Struthio camelus: one gene and its partner. Each later gene encodes a partner of the first gene's protein in a complex. Links are inferred from orthologs where the notes say so. Each region holds a gene or a part of one and is shown on either strand. Other genes may lie near its edges.

What was found. Proteins that work in one complex are often made in the same cells at the same time.
Region 2: the proteins of OPRK1 (region 1) and PDYN are in contact, whole or in part, in a cryo-EM structure (PDB 8F7W), measured with the Homo sapiens proteins. The link is inferred for Struthio camelus from reciprocal best matches to the Homo sapiens genes OPRK1 and PDYN. Residues at the interface, in NP_000903.2 of Homo sapiens: Thr111, Gln115, Trp124, Val134, Ile135, Asp138, Tyr139, Met142, Lys200, Glu209, Cys210, Asp216, Tyr219, Lys227, Val230, Phe293, Ile294, Glu297, His304, Ala308, Leu309, Tyr312, Tyr313, Ile316, Tyr320; in NP_001177821.1 of Homo sapiens: Tyr207, Gly208, Gly209, Phe210, Leu211, Arg212, Arg213, Ile214.

The regions. Positions count from the first base shown.
Region 1 is NC_090943.1:137,947,085-137,955,024, reverse strand, and holds the start of OPRK1 (kappa-type opioid receptor), read right to left. Parts: upstream 3,002-7,940; 5' UTR 2,387-3,001; intron 1,870-2,386; 5' UTR 1,804-1,869; coding exon 1,544-1,803; intron 1-1,543. UniProt on the Homo sapiens protein: G-protein coupled opioid receptor that functions as a receptor for endogenous alpha-neoendorphins and dynorphins, but has low affinity for beta-endorphins.
Region 2 is NC_090959.1:18,143,523-18,151,516, forward strand, and holds the start of PDYN (proenkephalin-B), read left to right. Parts: upstream 1-4,988; 5' UTR 4,989-5,116; intron 5,117-5,958; 5' UTR 5,959-6,049; intron 6,050-7,300; 5' UTR 7,301-7,317; coding exon 7,318-7,440; intron 7,441-7,580; coding exon 7,581-7,994.

The DNA.
Region 1 (7,940 bases):
AGGCCTAAGGCAGGGACTGGTAGGAAAGGGAGCCACAGTTAGCTGGACCCTCACAAAAATAATCTTAGGATGGTAAAAGAAGGAGAGGAAAAAGGAAATGCATAAAAACTGTATAATCCATGAGAGATAACTTTCAGAGCTCTGACTAAGTTTGAATTTATTTCCACCGCCCAGGAGCAGTTAATTAACACTATCATTGTTAATGACAGATGGCTTAGAAAAACTCTGCCTCTGCAGCTGGGATAAGAGTGTGTCAAGTACGGAGTCTCTTTTCTTGCAAAATATATACAAAAAGAAATGAAATCTCTACTCCGTATAATGGGTAAAGCAATATGGAAGAGTATAAAAATTACAGCCTCATAAAGCCAAAGCAAACCTCCACATTGACCACAGGCACCTTTATTCATTAGACTGATTTTTAAAGAGGATTTTATTTCCATTTTTCAAGAGCATTCCCCTGGGTATAACTGATCTTTGTTTCCAGTGTAGTTAGCATCCCGCTATATCAGGTCTGACAGGATATCTCACCATGCTGCAGTTGCTTGACCCTTACCATGCATGCTTAACTCGTAATATATCTTTCAATACCTCCAGTTTCCTTCTTGTGTAAAAGCTGGTTTCATTTAAGCAATGAACAATCTATAGAATTATTTTCTCAGATTTTTTTGCAAGTTTTATATAGAATGTGAAGCAGGAGTCCAAAAAGTTGAATGATTTCAGTCTTCTTTGTAGCTCACTATCACTCTGCTAATCTGCACTACCCAGAACATTTTTATAAGTTGCAACTGGAAAGGACAAAAAGAGAGTGCAAACTAAAATATACAAGAACACACAAGTGTAAATGTAAGTACAAGTAGGGCTGATTTCACTAAGTAGCTTAATGTGAAAAATTTACTAGTGCAGATACATAGCTTTCTTCCTATTTCTTGAGAAATAACATGAAATATAGACCTCTCTCAGCATCTACTTTACTTTTATCAAGCAAACAGCAACAACTGGAGTTTAAATATACTAAACAGAGCAATAACATCCCTTGCTTTACACTGAGCATTTCCACATGTTTTTATCATTTACAGTTTTCTCATCTTGCTAGATGACAAGGCAGCAATATATTAGCGTTCCCAAGACTAGATACATAAACCATCCTGCTCTCTACAGGACTCCTTGCAGGGAAAAGCTGTCTTGCAGCTGGAAGTGGAAGCTTTCTTCTTCCACTCCAGCTTTCCCTTGGACAACCGCAGACTCATCCCTAGAGGGCACCTAACGAACACAGCTCCAGGGCACATAGCACATTTCCTGCAGGCTGCAGGATTTATCACTTTTAACCAGCTTCTCCCTTCTGTTTCTAATTGCACTTCCAGACAAACTACTCCGAGTGAAAACATCTGAGCTCATTCCAGTTACTTTTTACCAGCTCCTCATTTATGCACTCCCAGAAAGCTTTCTTGGGCCACAACTATTTCCCCTCCCCTCCCCCCCAACAAATTTCAGGACTATCATGTGCATTTCTTTCAACTGCGGCTCCAAAGCCGTTTCCCCTTACCTTATGATAACAAACATGACCAGAGAGTTTCCCACCAAGCCAACAACGAAGACTACTGAGTAGACAGCAGTGATGATAATGGGGATGGCGGGGGAGATGCTGGTGTGGTTGTGCTGGGCGTCCCCAAAGGCCCCGGTGGCGTTGCTCTCATAGTCCTCCCAGCCCAGGAGCCAGCTGCTGCTGGTGCTGGGGGAGCGACAGGACCCGGGGGAGCAGGTGGAGCCTGGCTCCTCCCGGAAAATCTGCACGGGGGCATCCATACGGCCACGGCCCCACGGGCAGGAGAGAGGCTGGGACAAGAGTGCAGACAGCAGAAGGCAAGTACACTAGAAAGACAGAAAAGAGGGAATGAAATAGAAGTGATATCACAGCCACTGGACATTAAGACACTAAAAATCTGTATATATTAAGGAGGGTTCTGTTGTGGCAGGAACTGTAGTTTGCCAGGCAGAGATTTGAGCAAACCATATTTGGAGTAAATAAATACAAGTTTCAAATCTTGATATATATTTGGTAACTTCTGCTCCTTCAGATGCACAAGGAAAGTTTTCCTCCACTTTCAGAGATTACACAGAGAAACAATTAGAAGAGATATCGTGCAGATGGGAAACAGCTTCAATCCACCCCCGCGCTTTAACCCTCTCTCTCCCATCCTCCATATTTTTAGTCAAACAGTATCCTAATGACTGGGGCTCCTTACTGCATTAGCTCTCCTAAATAGGAGAAGAGAGAGGAAAACCCACCACCTTTCTCCATATCTGCTTTGACATCCTTCCCTGAGTTATTTTCTTTCAGATCCCACACCTGCTTTCAGAAAAGACACACATTAATGACATAAAATACCTCTTTCAGTCCAGCAAAGGAGCAAAGTCCCCAGACAGATGTTCTTTGCAGCAGAAAAAGCACCTGCTTAGCTCCTGGCAGTGCCAGGGATCTTCTAGGACTTTTGAACCGGCGGCATCTGCACCTCTGGAGACGGAGGAATGTGCTGGCAATGGAGCTGATTCCCAGGCACAAGCTGCGATGTGGTAGCAGCAGTTGCTGCTGTTCCAGCTCCCACCACTACCCCTTTTCACTCTCACACTCTCTCTCTCTGCCTCTCTCTTACTCTGCTAGGGCTCCAGCAGCACTCTGCACTAATGCACACATTTCTACTCTGTCTCCATGCTTGCAGCTCAGAAGCTCACATGACTTCTGTCTAAACACTGAGAGGCAGACAAATTAAAAGAAAAGCAAGAAATAAGTTCTACAATAAATGAATGCATAATTTGTATACACTTTCCAAATTGCCTTTCCTCATTCCCCTTGCATCCTAGGCCTCAAGCAATGTTCCCTCCTACCTTTCTGAATCCCTCATGATTTGTGGACTAGTAGATGCTGAATAAAACAGGAATTTTCCGTTTAGATTCCTTGGCTGGTCCATCAGCTCTTTTGTGACTCAGCTTCATAATTGCATACTCAGACCACTTCTAGTTGGGTAGCTGTGCTGTGCTCCTTCACACTTACAACCTGGAAGGATGTCAGAAGGTGGCTACTAAAGGAGAGAGAGAGAGCCAGGAACAGCTGAAGGAACCCCAGTTGCTGCCCGTAGTTAATTCAAACTGTCTTGTACTGTTTTGGAAGCCAAGAATCCCATTTTGCACCACACAAGAAACTCCACCATCAGAGATCTGCTGTCTCTGTACACCAACTGTGGCTGGGGATGGAGGGTCAGCGTGTGCAGAAATCAAACCCTTCAGAGCTATATAGCTCACATAGCTCACGGGCTAATAGCCCATCACGCAGGGGCTGGCATCCCAATCTGTGTACAGAACCTCTTCGTTCACATGCGGGCCTTGAAATTCCCAGTAGAACTCCCTCTAAATGCCAAATTGGAGAGGTGAGAAAGGACCTAAGTAGTTTCCACTCCCCTAGAAGAGGTGGGATATAGCCAGACTGGCTGCATGTCAAAACACACTGCAGAAATCAGGTCTCTGCAGGCCAGAGCAGACTGCCAGGCATTTCTGTGTATTTTAGTGAAGTTCAGAAGGCCAGAGAAGATGTTGTGGGTATCCTTCATCCTTATTTTATGTAGAAACTTTACTTCATGTTCCTTTTGTAGAGCCTCTGTGATCAGGCTGAAGTTTCTATTTTTAAAACATTTTTTTCTTTCGAAGCCTATAATCAAGATGAGAAAAAGGAAACTGCAATGTCTATTGCAGAGCTGAAAGTCATGAAGAAAACTTAAAATATCCAGATCCTTTCTTTTTGAGGCAGACGCTCAAGATTAAAGGTGGTGGTGGCTCTGAGTCTGGCCACTGCTTTGTCCAGAACAGACTTGTATGTTACAGCATCTGCTTACTACCGTCTGTACAGAGCTGTTTAAAAGTTTAACCTTTGCTGAGGTTGTCAACAAGTGCAAGACAGCAAACATACAACAAAAGCATTCCTAAGCCAAATACATTTTAAGGATTGAACATAGACCTAAGAAAATAAAAGTTTCTTGGAAAACAAAACAAGACCCTAACACAAAATGGACAGATCCCTGTCCTGTTTTTTTTTTCCCTTGCAATCCATTGGCCTCTGCAAAAGTACTGAAAGGAATTATTACTGCTACTTCATCTCATACGTGGAACAATTTGGCAATTGCTATCTTCTTTATAACATTTTCCCTGGACTTCTTCATATTCTGGAATTAAAATATACCGGAGAGCCATAAGATAGCAATATTTTTAGCCTTCATTGATAATCCATTTCTTATGAGCAATTATTTTGTTTCGGGAAGTACCTTAAGTGCAACCATACACAGCTGCAATATAGCTATTTAATCAATGAAATGGATTTTACGGGTTATTCTGGAGAGGGAGAAAGCAGCAGCAGCAGTCTGCAATTCTCCAGTTGCTACAGGTGGATCAGAAACATCCATATGGGGAAGAAAAGTCTATTACTGCTATGCATAAATCTAAACTGGAGATGGCCTGAAAAACTTAGTATGATTAATTAACAGTAGAGTCAAAGCTTTTTCAAGCACAACAGTAGACTCAAAGCTTTTTGAAGTTGGACAGTATAGTTCTGACCTTTAGCTTTCTCTTGCTAAACTCTGCACTGAAACTCTTCAGTGATCGCATCTAAAACGATGTGTTAACAGCACAATCGCTGCCCCTTAGTGGAGTAAGGGTGTGTTGCAAATAAATGGGCGTGGAATAAGGTGGACTTTGGCCAGGACACTGCAAATTACAGGGCAAGCCAAAGACAATATATGTTTCCTTGTGCTTTCTGTCTCTGTATCCTCCATGTGAGAGGCTCAGCTCCAGCTATCATTTATTTTAGGCCTTTGCAATTCAAGAGGAAGGAGCCCTTGGTCTAGAGAAGTGCCTTTTCCTTTGAAAGTCAAGTGAAATTCATATAAACTGACAAAAATAATCTTTCGCTTATTTATGTTTGCATTCTTGAGGAAAATTGATATAACTGGGTTACCAGTAGTGACTGGGCTCAGCATACGTACTAGAAATGCTTGCAGTAGTATCAAAAGAAAAACCCAGGACAAAGAATCATGCTTACCCATCTTCTTCATTTTCTTCAACAGATAATCATTCAGCGCCGTTATATCCTTTCTGATAGTCCTGGGGTGGAGGACAGGAGTGTCCTGAACTCATGAGGGAAGAGAAAGAAAAGGTCTGCAGTCAACATAGCCCAGTTTGTCCACACACCAGTACTCTCCCAGAAGTTCTTCTCTCCTCTGAGGGATCATGTGAGACAGCAGATCCTGTTCTTTCAAAAGAAGACAAGGAACGATTTTGGGAAAAAAGACAGCATAAGAGCACAGTATCTCAGCCACTCAGCTACAACTTTGCTGCAACACTGATTTTGCAGATCTGGGACTCACATGCCCCCAGATTTTTTCATGGCAATACTGGAGATTCAGAGTTCACCTCACTGGACTTTGCCTGGACGTTTTTTCCCATTAAAAAAATAAAATTCCATATCAGATTCTGTATTTAAGGAACATTCCTTATGTTGTAAATTCTAGCCCTCAAAGGTAAAGAAATACCACATTCAGCGGTCCTATAGCTAAGGCAGAACAATGCAAGTGCATTCACACAACCATACCGTTTTTTTCCCGAGAATCCCTTCCACATTCACAGGTCAGCTACGTAATATTGCTACATTTAGGTAGAAGTGCTATAAAGTGCTTCCTTCTGCATGCCTAGTGAAATTCCCTGATTGAATAGGGAACATGGCGGGAGGGAGATGTAGGATATTTTAAAATATCAGGTGGGAAGGGCTTCGACTTTTTTTTTTTCTCTTCATTACCAATGTCTAAGCTAAAAAGCTGTTCCTCCATCAGCACAGTGCTTCAAAACCTTAGCAATGCCCTGGGACATTACTCCAGCCCTGACTCAGAGCTACGAACGAAACGCACTGAATCACTGGCACGGTGCTGTGCGGCAGCCGCGCGGGGTGCTGCAGCGGGGCCCCCTGTACCCTTCCCGTGCCCGCGCACTGCCGCTGCTGCGCGGAAGCTGCTTGGTCCCCAGTGCTGTTCCCCGAAAGACCACGGCATCTTTCAAGGCTTAAGTCAAATTGCCAGAACAGGGCAAACCTTGAAGTTCAGCCACGAACTGTGACGCTGGGTATTTTGACGGGGGATCGTGCGCAAAGGTCGCTTTTTATTCTAGAGATGGGGAGGGAGGCAAGACGAGTTAAGCGGAGCAGGCTATCAAATCCTTTTTTCAGGTCGTTCCATAGTTATTTTTGCTACCTGGTTGACCACAGGCTACAATTATAGCACCCCGGCGTAAAGGGAGGAGATGCGGTAAGAGCTTTCCTGCGGTCGCAGTTGCCAGGGAAACAAAGTCCTCCTGCCTCTGCGCATCCCGAAACCCTAGCTGCCCGCCTGAGCGCAGCTCTTGGGAAACGTTATGTCTTATCCGCCTCAAAGGCCAGCAAGGGGAAGGAAGGGGAAAAAAAGGAGGGCAGGAAGGTAGATGGAATAATTATTCCCGTGCCGTGTGGCGGCAGCCAGGCCCATGCGGGGCCACCGGCATGGCGCGGCCTGGGCTGCCCGGCTCCCCCGCGGGCCTGCCCCACTGCTGCGGGCTCCTCCGGCAGCCGCTGGGCTGCGGATGGCCTCGGTCACCGTCATCGGGACGGCGGTGGCCACCTCGGCTCCCCGCTGTCCTTCCCCGACCGGGCCCGGCCCTGCAGCACCCTGGCAGCGCGGCCGGGATCGCTAGTGGTAAGGCACAGGGCCGCGTCTCGGGAGCAACGGTAAAACTGTCCAAGCAGGTCAAAGCTCTTCACCTTCTTCCTTACGTTTCGTCTAGTCAAGGCCCCTAGCTGGAGGTTTGCTACGGTTCCTTGCTTTTCCAGAGCGAACGGCAGAAAGGGCTCCCAGAGGGGACACCAGCAAACGGAGAGTGGCCGGACAGCGACCTGGTGGAGAATTTTTAGTGCCTCTCTAAAGGGGAAAATTGTAGTGATCCTCAGAGATCTATAGTCCAGGTCTTACCTAACAAAAAAAAAAAAACTACCTGATCCTAAAGTGTCTCTAATTACTGTTTACTAATGATTATTTATAGCTCCTTCTCTGGTGAAGCACTATCAGTTGATCACCTTTCACAGTAATTTGGCTGCCCAGCGATTAAAGCATGGCTTGGCAACAGCACAGTACTGTCAGCAGCTGATACACCGCTCCGGGGAGGGAACGGGGATCAGCTAATACCACCCCAACTTCCATTCAGCTTCTGCTCTGATACACACCACACTGTCGATGCCACTTTATGGGCATAAGTAAAAGTCACTTTAACATTATTCTGGTTATTTCTTTTGGGAAGATCTTAGCAGATTATGTGGGATGGGCACTAATTTCTCCCCAAAGAGCACAAGCTCCTGGAAAGCCTTCTCCTTACCTTTACTGCAAAGGGAAGAAAGAAGATTCATTTTCTGGAGGTAAGAATCACATGCCAGTTATGTGCTAATTATATCCAATCTTAATCCTCTTTGCTTCAGGCTTAGAATTGTGTGTTTGCTTTTCCTGATGGCCGGCAGAAGCAAGAATCAGCATGAAAACAAGTGACATAGCTCAAGTGAGAGAAAAGAACTCAAATTTTCCACATAAAACCTCACTCCTCCCGCCTCCTTTCCCACCTGTGTGTCCTAGCTTTTGGCATCTTCGTTCATACATGATTAATTTTTTAAACATAAAAGTGCTGTGATAAGAGAAGGGTGAATTAGCTCTCTGAGTAGGAGGTTGTGCCTGCACCAGGTGACCATGCCAGCCACTACTACCTCCAGGGCAGAGTGGGAAAGGCTGAACCTCCCTCTGTCTTTCTCCCTTTCACTTTCCCCTGCTCATCTCTTCCTATTAGTTAACTCAGTTGATGCTCAGAAAATCAGCCAGAGCTGTAGGAGTGAA
Region 2 (7,994 bases), on another chromosome or scaffold:
CCTACAATGCAAAGGGGGGGTGCTCGGGGGCTGTGCAATGCAAAGGGGGGGGTGCTCGGGGGCCGTGCAATGCAAAGGGGGGTGTTCCGGACTGTGCAATGCAAAGGGGGGGGTGCTCGGGGGCCGTGCAATGCAAAGGGGGGGTGCTCCGGGCTGTGCAATGCAAAGGGGGGGTGCTCGGGGGCCATGCAATGCAAAGGGGGGTGTTCCGGACTGTGCAATGCAAAGGGGGGGGTGCTCGGGGGCCGTGCAATGCAAAGGGGGAGTGCTCCGGGCTGTGCAATGCAAAGGGGGGTGCTCGGGGCTGTGCGGTGCAAAGAGGGGGGTGCTCAAGGGCCATGCCATGCAAAGGGGGTGCTCTGGAGCCGTGCAATGCAAAGGGGGTGCTCGGAGGCCATGTGGTGCAAAGGGGGGGGTGCTCTGGGACTGTGCCATGCTAAGGGGGGTGTTCTGGGCTGTGCAGTGCAAAGAAGGGGGGGTTCCTCCAGGATTGTGCAATGCAAAGGGGGGTGCTTGGGGGGCATGCCGTGCAAAGGGGGGGGTGTGCTCCAGGGCTGTGCAATGCAAAAGAGGGTTCTCCGGGGCCGTGCTGTGCAAAGGAGGGTGCACCAGGGCAGTGTAGTGCAAAGGGGGGGTGCTCTGGGCCATGCAGTGCAAAGGGGGCATGTACTGGGGCTGTGCAGTGCAAAAGAGGAGTACACTGGGGCCGTGCAGCGTAAAAGGAGGGCACACCGGGGTATTACAGCGCATGGCGGGGGGCAGGTGCCCCAGGGAGGCGGTGCAGTTTTGATCAGTGCACTAAGGAGGGGGGGTGTTGGTGCCCTGGAGAGGGGGGTGCAGTGTAAGGGAGTGGGAAGCTGTGCCGTGGTGGTGCATTGTAGGGGGTGCACTGGGAGCCTGTTCAGTTGCGGGGGGGTGTCAATGCACTGGCAGGGTGACCATGCAGTGCTAAGGGCTGGGATCGGTGCACTGGAGGCGGTGCAAGGAGGTGGTCAGTGCGCAGGGGAGAGGGGAAGCAGTGCAAGGGGATGCTGGATGCACCAGGGGGAGCGTGCAGTGCAGGGGGGGTCTGCGCATTGCAAAGGGGGGTCAGTGGAGCAGAGGGGGCTGTGCGTGCAGCAGGCTGTGCAGTGCACGGGGATCGGTGCAGTGCAAGGGGAGGTGCAGTTGTGGGGGGACATGTAGTGCAAGGAGGGGGTGCAGCAGCTTGTGCAGTGCAAAGGGGCTTCTGCAGCTTAGCCAGGTGCTGCGGGGCCCCAGCCCTGGTGAAGCCCCCTCCCCAGACCCAGCTCCCTGGGGTATTGCTGCAGGCGATTTCCAGCAAAAGCCCCCCTAGAAAGTCACTGAAACGCTGGGGCTGAAGCCTCGCTGCCCTCGGGGGCCAGAGGTTTTAGGGAAGCTAAAAACCGGGTGAGGACGAGCACTGTCCCCAGGGGTCCCCGCGCCCGGCTGGAGCCCTCTTGCCCTGCTCTCTCCCGCCATCCAGGGGCTTCCCGAGCGTGCGGTCGTGCTGGCCGGCCGGTCCCGGCGGTGGGGCCATGCCGTGGCTCCGCTCCGCGTTACTCCCGCTCCGCCTGGCCGTTTCCACCTCCAGGCACCCCCCGGCTCGAGCAGCGTGCGGTGGTGGGTTCATTTACCCCGTGCACGTGCGCATCGCGCACCGCCGGGACCGGGGCTCCACCATGCCACCCAGCCCGCCGGCGCTTGGCTGTGCCGCGCCGGGAGAAACGGCGATGGCGCCCCGTCGCAGCAAGCACCGCGGCGGGGCCGGGACCGGCCGGGGCGCCTCGTCCCGGGGAGCAGCGCGTGGGCGTCGCGGCCCCTCTCCGGCAGCCCCCGCGGCCACGCGCAGCCCCGCGTGCGCGGTGCGAGCAGCAGCGCTAAGCCGGTGCCGCGGCCTTGGCCCGCTTGCCGGCAGCGCGCCGCTCCGGGGGGGCTGCTTGTACAGAAGGACGCACGTCTGTTCCCGCAGGGTCGTTTTCCTGCCACGAAAACCGCCTGTTTTGTTCCAGCTGTTTTTTTCCGAGCCTCTTCTCTGCCCGCTTTGCCTCGCTCGGCGCAGGTGACGTTAGAGGCACTTTGCAGGCGGTCAAGGAGAGCGTCTGCAGAGCGAGTTTACGGAGGAGCTCTGCAAATCGCTCTTTGCTTGACTCACTTGCCAGGCCCGTGTTGAGAGCACGCGCCAGGCAGCAGCCGCGGCCCCTCCGCGCTGCCCAGAGCATCGCGCTGCCGGCGCGGAGACCCTGCGCCGGCCGGGCCCCGCGCGGCCGCCCGGTCCCTGCCGCCAGGCTGGCGCAGGAGGGGAAACGAGGTGCCCTGAGCGGCGGCGCGTGCATGCCAGGAAAAGCCTCTCCTCCGCCTAACATTCGGAAAATAAACTTTCTTATCTCATTCTCTCCCTGCAAGGCGACCTGTATTATCCCCGCGGATTGCCAGGGAGCGCTCGGCTTTGGGTCTCGTCCCAAAGCCGTTTGCACGGAAGACGCTGCCTGGTGCCGCCGGCAGCCGGCCGGGGTGCAGCCGAGAGCCTGGGCTGGGGCGCGCTGGCGGGGAGCGCAGCGGCCGCGCGGCTGGCTGCCTGCCCGCGCGCAGCGAGCGGGGCTGCCGGCGATCCTCTGCAAGTTTTTAAAGCTCGATTTGCTTTTCAGTGGAGCCACTTCACCGCCTGGGCTGGGAGGAGAGGGGGTCCTCGGCCGGGGGCAGCCCCGCGCGTTGCTGCGCGACGCCCGTTGTTTGCTCGGGCGCCGCTTTCTGCAACGGCGTCGAGTGGCCACTTGTGCTCGCTGCCCGTGTCTTTGTGCGCCCCGGTCGCGCCGCCGCGTGCCCACGCGCGTGCCCCTGGGCTGCGCGGCCGCCGGCAGGCAGGAGCCGAGCTCCCCCCGCGGCGCCCAGCCCGCTCCCCGCGGGGGCGATGCTGGGGAGCGGGCATCGCCCCGCGCGCCGGCTCTCCCGGGAGCGCGGTTCGCGCCTGGCCGCCTCCTCCCTGGGGCAGCCCGCGCAGCCTGCGGCCGTTTCAGGGCCACGAGGGTGAGCAAGCGATTTAATACCAGCCCTTTCTGGAAAAACGCCGTACGCCTGAATAGCGGGGAGCTGACCGGGCGCGATGGGAATTGCTCCACGCACCGCAGGCGGGCTGCTTCCCGCGGGCACTGCCTGCCGGGGCACCGGACCGCGCTCGCAGCGGCGCCGGGTCGCGCACCCGCTGCTCGGGGCGGCCAGCGAGCTCGCCCCTCCGAAACATGGGTGCAGGCTGGCTGGGGAGTTCCTTCCCTTCCCCTCTCCCTCCTGCTGGCTCCCACCTTGCCCGCGCTGGACGATGCTCTGCAGACGCCGGCAGGGCCAACGGAGCCGCTCTCCGCTCCGAGGCCAATGCGGGCCTCGAGGGCCGGGCTGCCGGGGGCTGCCGGGGGCTGCCGGGGGCTGCCGGGGGCTGCCGGGGCTCCGGGCACAGCCGGCCCCGCCGTGACAGGCGCTGCGTGACGGTGTCTGCCATTAACTCCCACCTGCTTTTGCGCCCGCCTGGTACTTGCGCTAGTCCCCCTCCTCTCCTCATCAGCTTTTCACTGATGTAGTTAAGAAAACTTAACTTTTCTATTACTGCACATTTCTCTCTCACCCAGGTGCTTAATTACCATTGTCCCAGGGAAATGTCAGCGTGACTCAGAGACAGTTTCCCATTAGGAAGCGGCAGATGAATATTAATTAAACCGGCTGGTGGGTGGGCTCACTTGGAGCTCCTTTCCCGAGGGGACCCTGCCAGCACCCCACGCCTGCCGGGCCTCGGCCGAGGACCCTCTCGCCTGGTTCAGGGAACCTGCGGCACAAATAGAAACGAAGAAGATGCCTCTGCTGCAGGGACAGGAGCAATTCCACCTCCCTGCCTCCCTGCCCAAAGGAAATCGTCTCTTATTAAGGAGCCTTATTACGAACTACCCTTACCTCTGTGCCCGCGGGGTTTTGCTTGGTCTCCCGAAGTGCGTTTCCCCCCGGTGCAATTACCCCGCTGCGGGCGCTGTGCAGGACGGGCGCCGACGGGGAGAACCGGGGAGGCTGCGTTTCGGGGGGAAACGCACTTCGGGGGGGGGTAGCTGATAGAAACGGGGGTTTCCTGGGTATAAAAAGTACCCGCTCGGCGCCTGCAGCCTCTGCTCGGCTCCAGCCGCCCCTTGGCCTGGCGGCGAGGACCGACCCTCGCCGAGGGATGCGCGCAGCCCCGGCGCGTCCCGGCGCGGCCGGTTGCAGCGTCTCCGGCTTCGCTCTGCATCCTCGCAGCGCTGCAAAGAGCGAGCGGGGCGGGTTGGGGGGGTCCCGTGCGGCCCCCGCCCCGGGCCGGGCGCTCCGTCCCCGCTCCGCAGCGCGGCCGGGCGCCCGCAGAGGCGGGGGGGGGGGGAGCCGAGGCCGGACCCCCCCCCCATTCCCCACCCCGGCAGCGCCAGGGCCTCCGGGTCCCGGGCAACCGGCGATGGAGCCGGGTTGCTGGGAAACATCCCTCTTGAGCGCCGATAAAAATAGCCCCGGCTGCAAGGCGAGAGGCCGGGCTGGGCGGCCGGCAGCGGCCGCGGAGCCGCTCGGAGCCCCCGGGCGGCTCGCAGGGGACGGGACGGGACGGGACGGTGCTGCACCCTGCTGCCGGCCCGACGTGGGCTGGGGAGCGGGGCTCCGCGGAGCGGGACGGCGAGGGGCCGGCGCAGCCCGCAGCCGCCGGGCCCAGGTTCCCCCGCCAGGCTGCGGGAGGGGGCTCGGGGCGGTGGGGCAACGGGAGCGGCGCGGCGCCCGGCGGGGGCGAAGGCGCTGCCGTCGGCAGCGGGGCCCGGCCGCCCCGTCGGCCCGGCGCGGGGGCTGCGGCGAGGCGGCCGCGGGGCTGGTTCTCGCCAGCCTCCCGCGCCCCGATTGGCTCCGCGGCGCCGGGCTGCGCTGGGGCCCCGCGGCAGGAGGAGACTCCGCGGCCATAAAAGCGGGACGGGAGCGGCGAGTCCGGTGGGTACCCGGCGGCGTCGGTGGTGGCATCCGCGCTCGGCGCCACCGCCGCCGTCGACGCCTCGAGCGAGAGGGCGGCACGCGGGGCGGCGTGCGCCCGGCTCGGCCGACGGACGGCCAGCATCAGCGGCGGCGGCAGGTAGGGCCGCGGGTGCCCCGGGGCGGCGGGCTCGGGGGGCGCGGGTGGTGGCGTCGCCCCGGGTGCACGCACGCACGCACGCGTGGCACGGCACCGCGCGCCCTGACTCACCGCCTGCAGCTGGGGTATCGCTTCTGCTGTTTGCCGGAGTGACTCAGTTTGTTTAAAAACATCCCCGGGGCGCCGCGCCGGGAGCATCTCGCCGCCGGGGTTTTCTGTGCGCGAGCGAAGCCGGTGCTCCCGCGGCGCCGCAGGTGCTCGTTTCGTCCCTCGAGCTGCTCGGTAGCCGGCGAGCCTCCGTAAATAGCTCCGCGGCGGCTCGTCGGGGTGCCGTTGCTGCGTCTTTCTGCCCTTTCGGGGGGAGAACGCGTTAGCTGGAACGAGCCGGAGTCCGGAGCGAAACGAGAAGGGAGCAGCAGATAAGTGACGGGGAGGATGCTCCTGCCTTCCCGCACCGGCATCGTCGGGGTTTGCTGCGGTTTTGTTCAAAAAGTCATTGTCTGTTTCTGAGCAAACGTTGCCCTGAACGCGTTTGCAGGTTGCTCTTAAGGAGAAGAGAACGGCTGGAAGGCGACGTTCTTCCCTGGCAGAAATGCCTGTAGGGTCCCCAAACTGTCTCAGGGAGACCTCGGTGGGAGGGGACCGCCCGGGGGCGCGATGCGCGCTGGCTGTCGGCGCCAGCGCCGCTCCGGAGGGAGCGATCCCGGAGCCCTCGCGGGCAGCCCCGGCCGGTGCTGGTGGTGAGGACGGGTCTCCGTCCCCGTCGCTCCCCGCGGGGACGCGGAGCCCTGCCGGGCCGGGCCGCGCCGGCGCCGACGGAGCCTCGCCGCTGTCGTCTCTAGGAGCTGCTAAAGCCGTGCCGAAGCCTCTGCGGCCGGAGGGACCGCCGCGGGACGCGCGCCCGAGCGACGCTCGGCCTCCGGCTCCGTGCAGGTAACGTCGTGTCGCTCTCCAGCTCCCTTCGCCTTCCTCCTTCCTTTCTCCAGTTCTTTCCCCGCCCCCCTCTTTGTCTTAGACCTATTATTTTTTCTCCCCTTTTTCTTGTCCCATTTTTTCTTGCCCGTCTCCCCCCTCCCTCGTGGAGCAGGAGGGCGGCAGAGCTCGGCCGGACCAGGTACGTCCCTGGCGCAGCCCTCGGCCCCTCCGCGCCGGCAGAGCCGCGGCTCGCCGGGCTGACGGCATCCGAGAAGCCGGGGCGCCATCGGCAAATGCCGTCCGGCGGGCACGGATGCTCCCGGCCGCTCCGGCTGCCCCCTCCTCGTCCTGTTAATCTCGGTTTCCCGCGGCGTTGCAGCGGGCGCCTCCGCGGCCGGCCAGCCCTCGCTGGGGCATCGCTGCCCCGCGGCGGACGGCAGGGAGCTCGGGGCCGGGACGCCCACGCCTGGCCGTCCCCGCGGCGGCTGCCGGGCTGCGCTGCCCAGGAATACCACCTGCATGTCGCACACGGCGGTGCGGATAATTCCGATTACATTTTAATTCAGCATGAATTAGTACGGTGGCATTAACATTTCTTCATCAGCGCCAATTACAGTGCATTAGCAGATACAGCCGGAGAATACAACAGTCTCTAATATGCGTCACTGCCGTGCAATAGCTTCCTCCGGGTCGGGCCTTTGCACCCGAGGTGGCAACGGCGGCGGCGGCCGGCTCCCGCGGGGCCTGGCGGGAGCGCTCAGCTCCGGGGCCGCCGCGGCCGGCACCGGCCGCAGCCCCGTCCAGCCTGGCTGGGGGTGTTTTGGGAGCGCCGGCGGTGGAGGATGCTGCCGCGGTGGAGGATGCTCCGGGCCGCCGGGAGCGGGGCAGAGCGGCCGGCGGCGGGCGGGCGCCTGGCGCTGGGTCGCCCCGGTGCAGCCCCGGGTGTCCCGGGCCTCGGCTGGCGAGCGGCTCCGGAGCACCATGTTTTTCTTCTCCGAGGCCGAGGGGGAGCTGCTGATGCATCCTCGCCATGCCGCCCCGGACGCGGCGATGGCAGCAGCGCTCAGAAACGTGGTGCTAAAAAACCCAAAACAAATGGCACGCGAGAGGCGTTAGCGGAGAGGGGGCGGGGGGGCTCGCCAGCCTGCCGGGGCCCAGGTGTCCCGGTGTCCCCAGGAGCCCGGCTCGGGGCTGGGGCCGTGCAGCCCCAGCGGGGTTCGCCGGGCGGCGGTGGCAGCCACGGGCCGCACGTGCTGTCTCGCCCCCCAGGCAGCGCTGTGGGCGGCATGGAGCGGCAGGCGCTGGCGCTGGCTCTCTGCCTGGCGCTGGCGGCGGCGGCGGCGGCTACGGACTGTGCGACCCGGTGCTCTGCCTGCACCCCGGACTCGGCAGAGAGCATCTGGCCCCTGGTGAGTGCCGGCGCCAAGCAGCCGCTGGGCTGCAAAACAGCAGCGGGCGCCCGGCGGGCACGGTCGGGGCTGGGAGCGGGGGGCGTCCCCGGGGCAGCACCGACCCGACGGCGCCGGGCGCCCCGGCCGCTGTCTTGCAGATGTGTTTGCTGGAGTGCGCGGGCTCCTGGCCGCCCGGCGCCGCCTGGGAGGCGTGCAGCAGGGCGCTGGCGCTCCCGGCCCCGGCGGAGGCGGCGGGTGAGGACGAGGCGCTGCCGGAGCTCGGCCCCGGGGACCTGGCCAAGCACGGCGGCGGCGGGTTCCCGAAGCAGCTGGAGCCGGGCGAGCTCCTCTCCCTGCTGCGCCGGAGGGCCCCCGGCCCCGGCAGCACCACGTACGGTGACGGCGGCGGCGAGCGGGTGCAGGACTACCCCACGCCGGAGCCCGGGCCGGCGGGTGCCGGCGGCGAGGAGCCCCCGGGCAAACGCTATGGGGGCTTCCTGCGCACCTACCCCAAGCGGCGCTTGGAGGCGGCGGCCGCGGGCGCCGGGCAGGAGCTGGCCGAGCTGCACAAG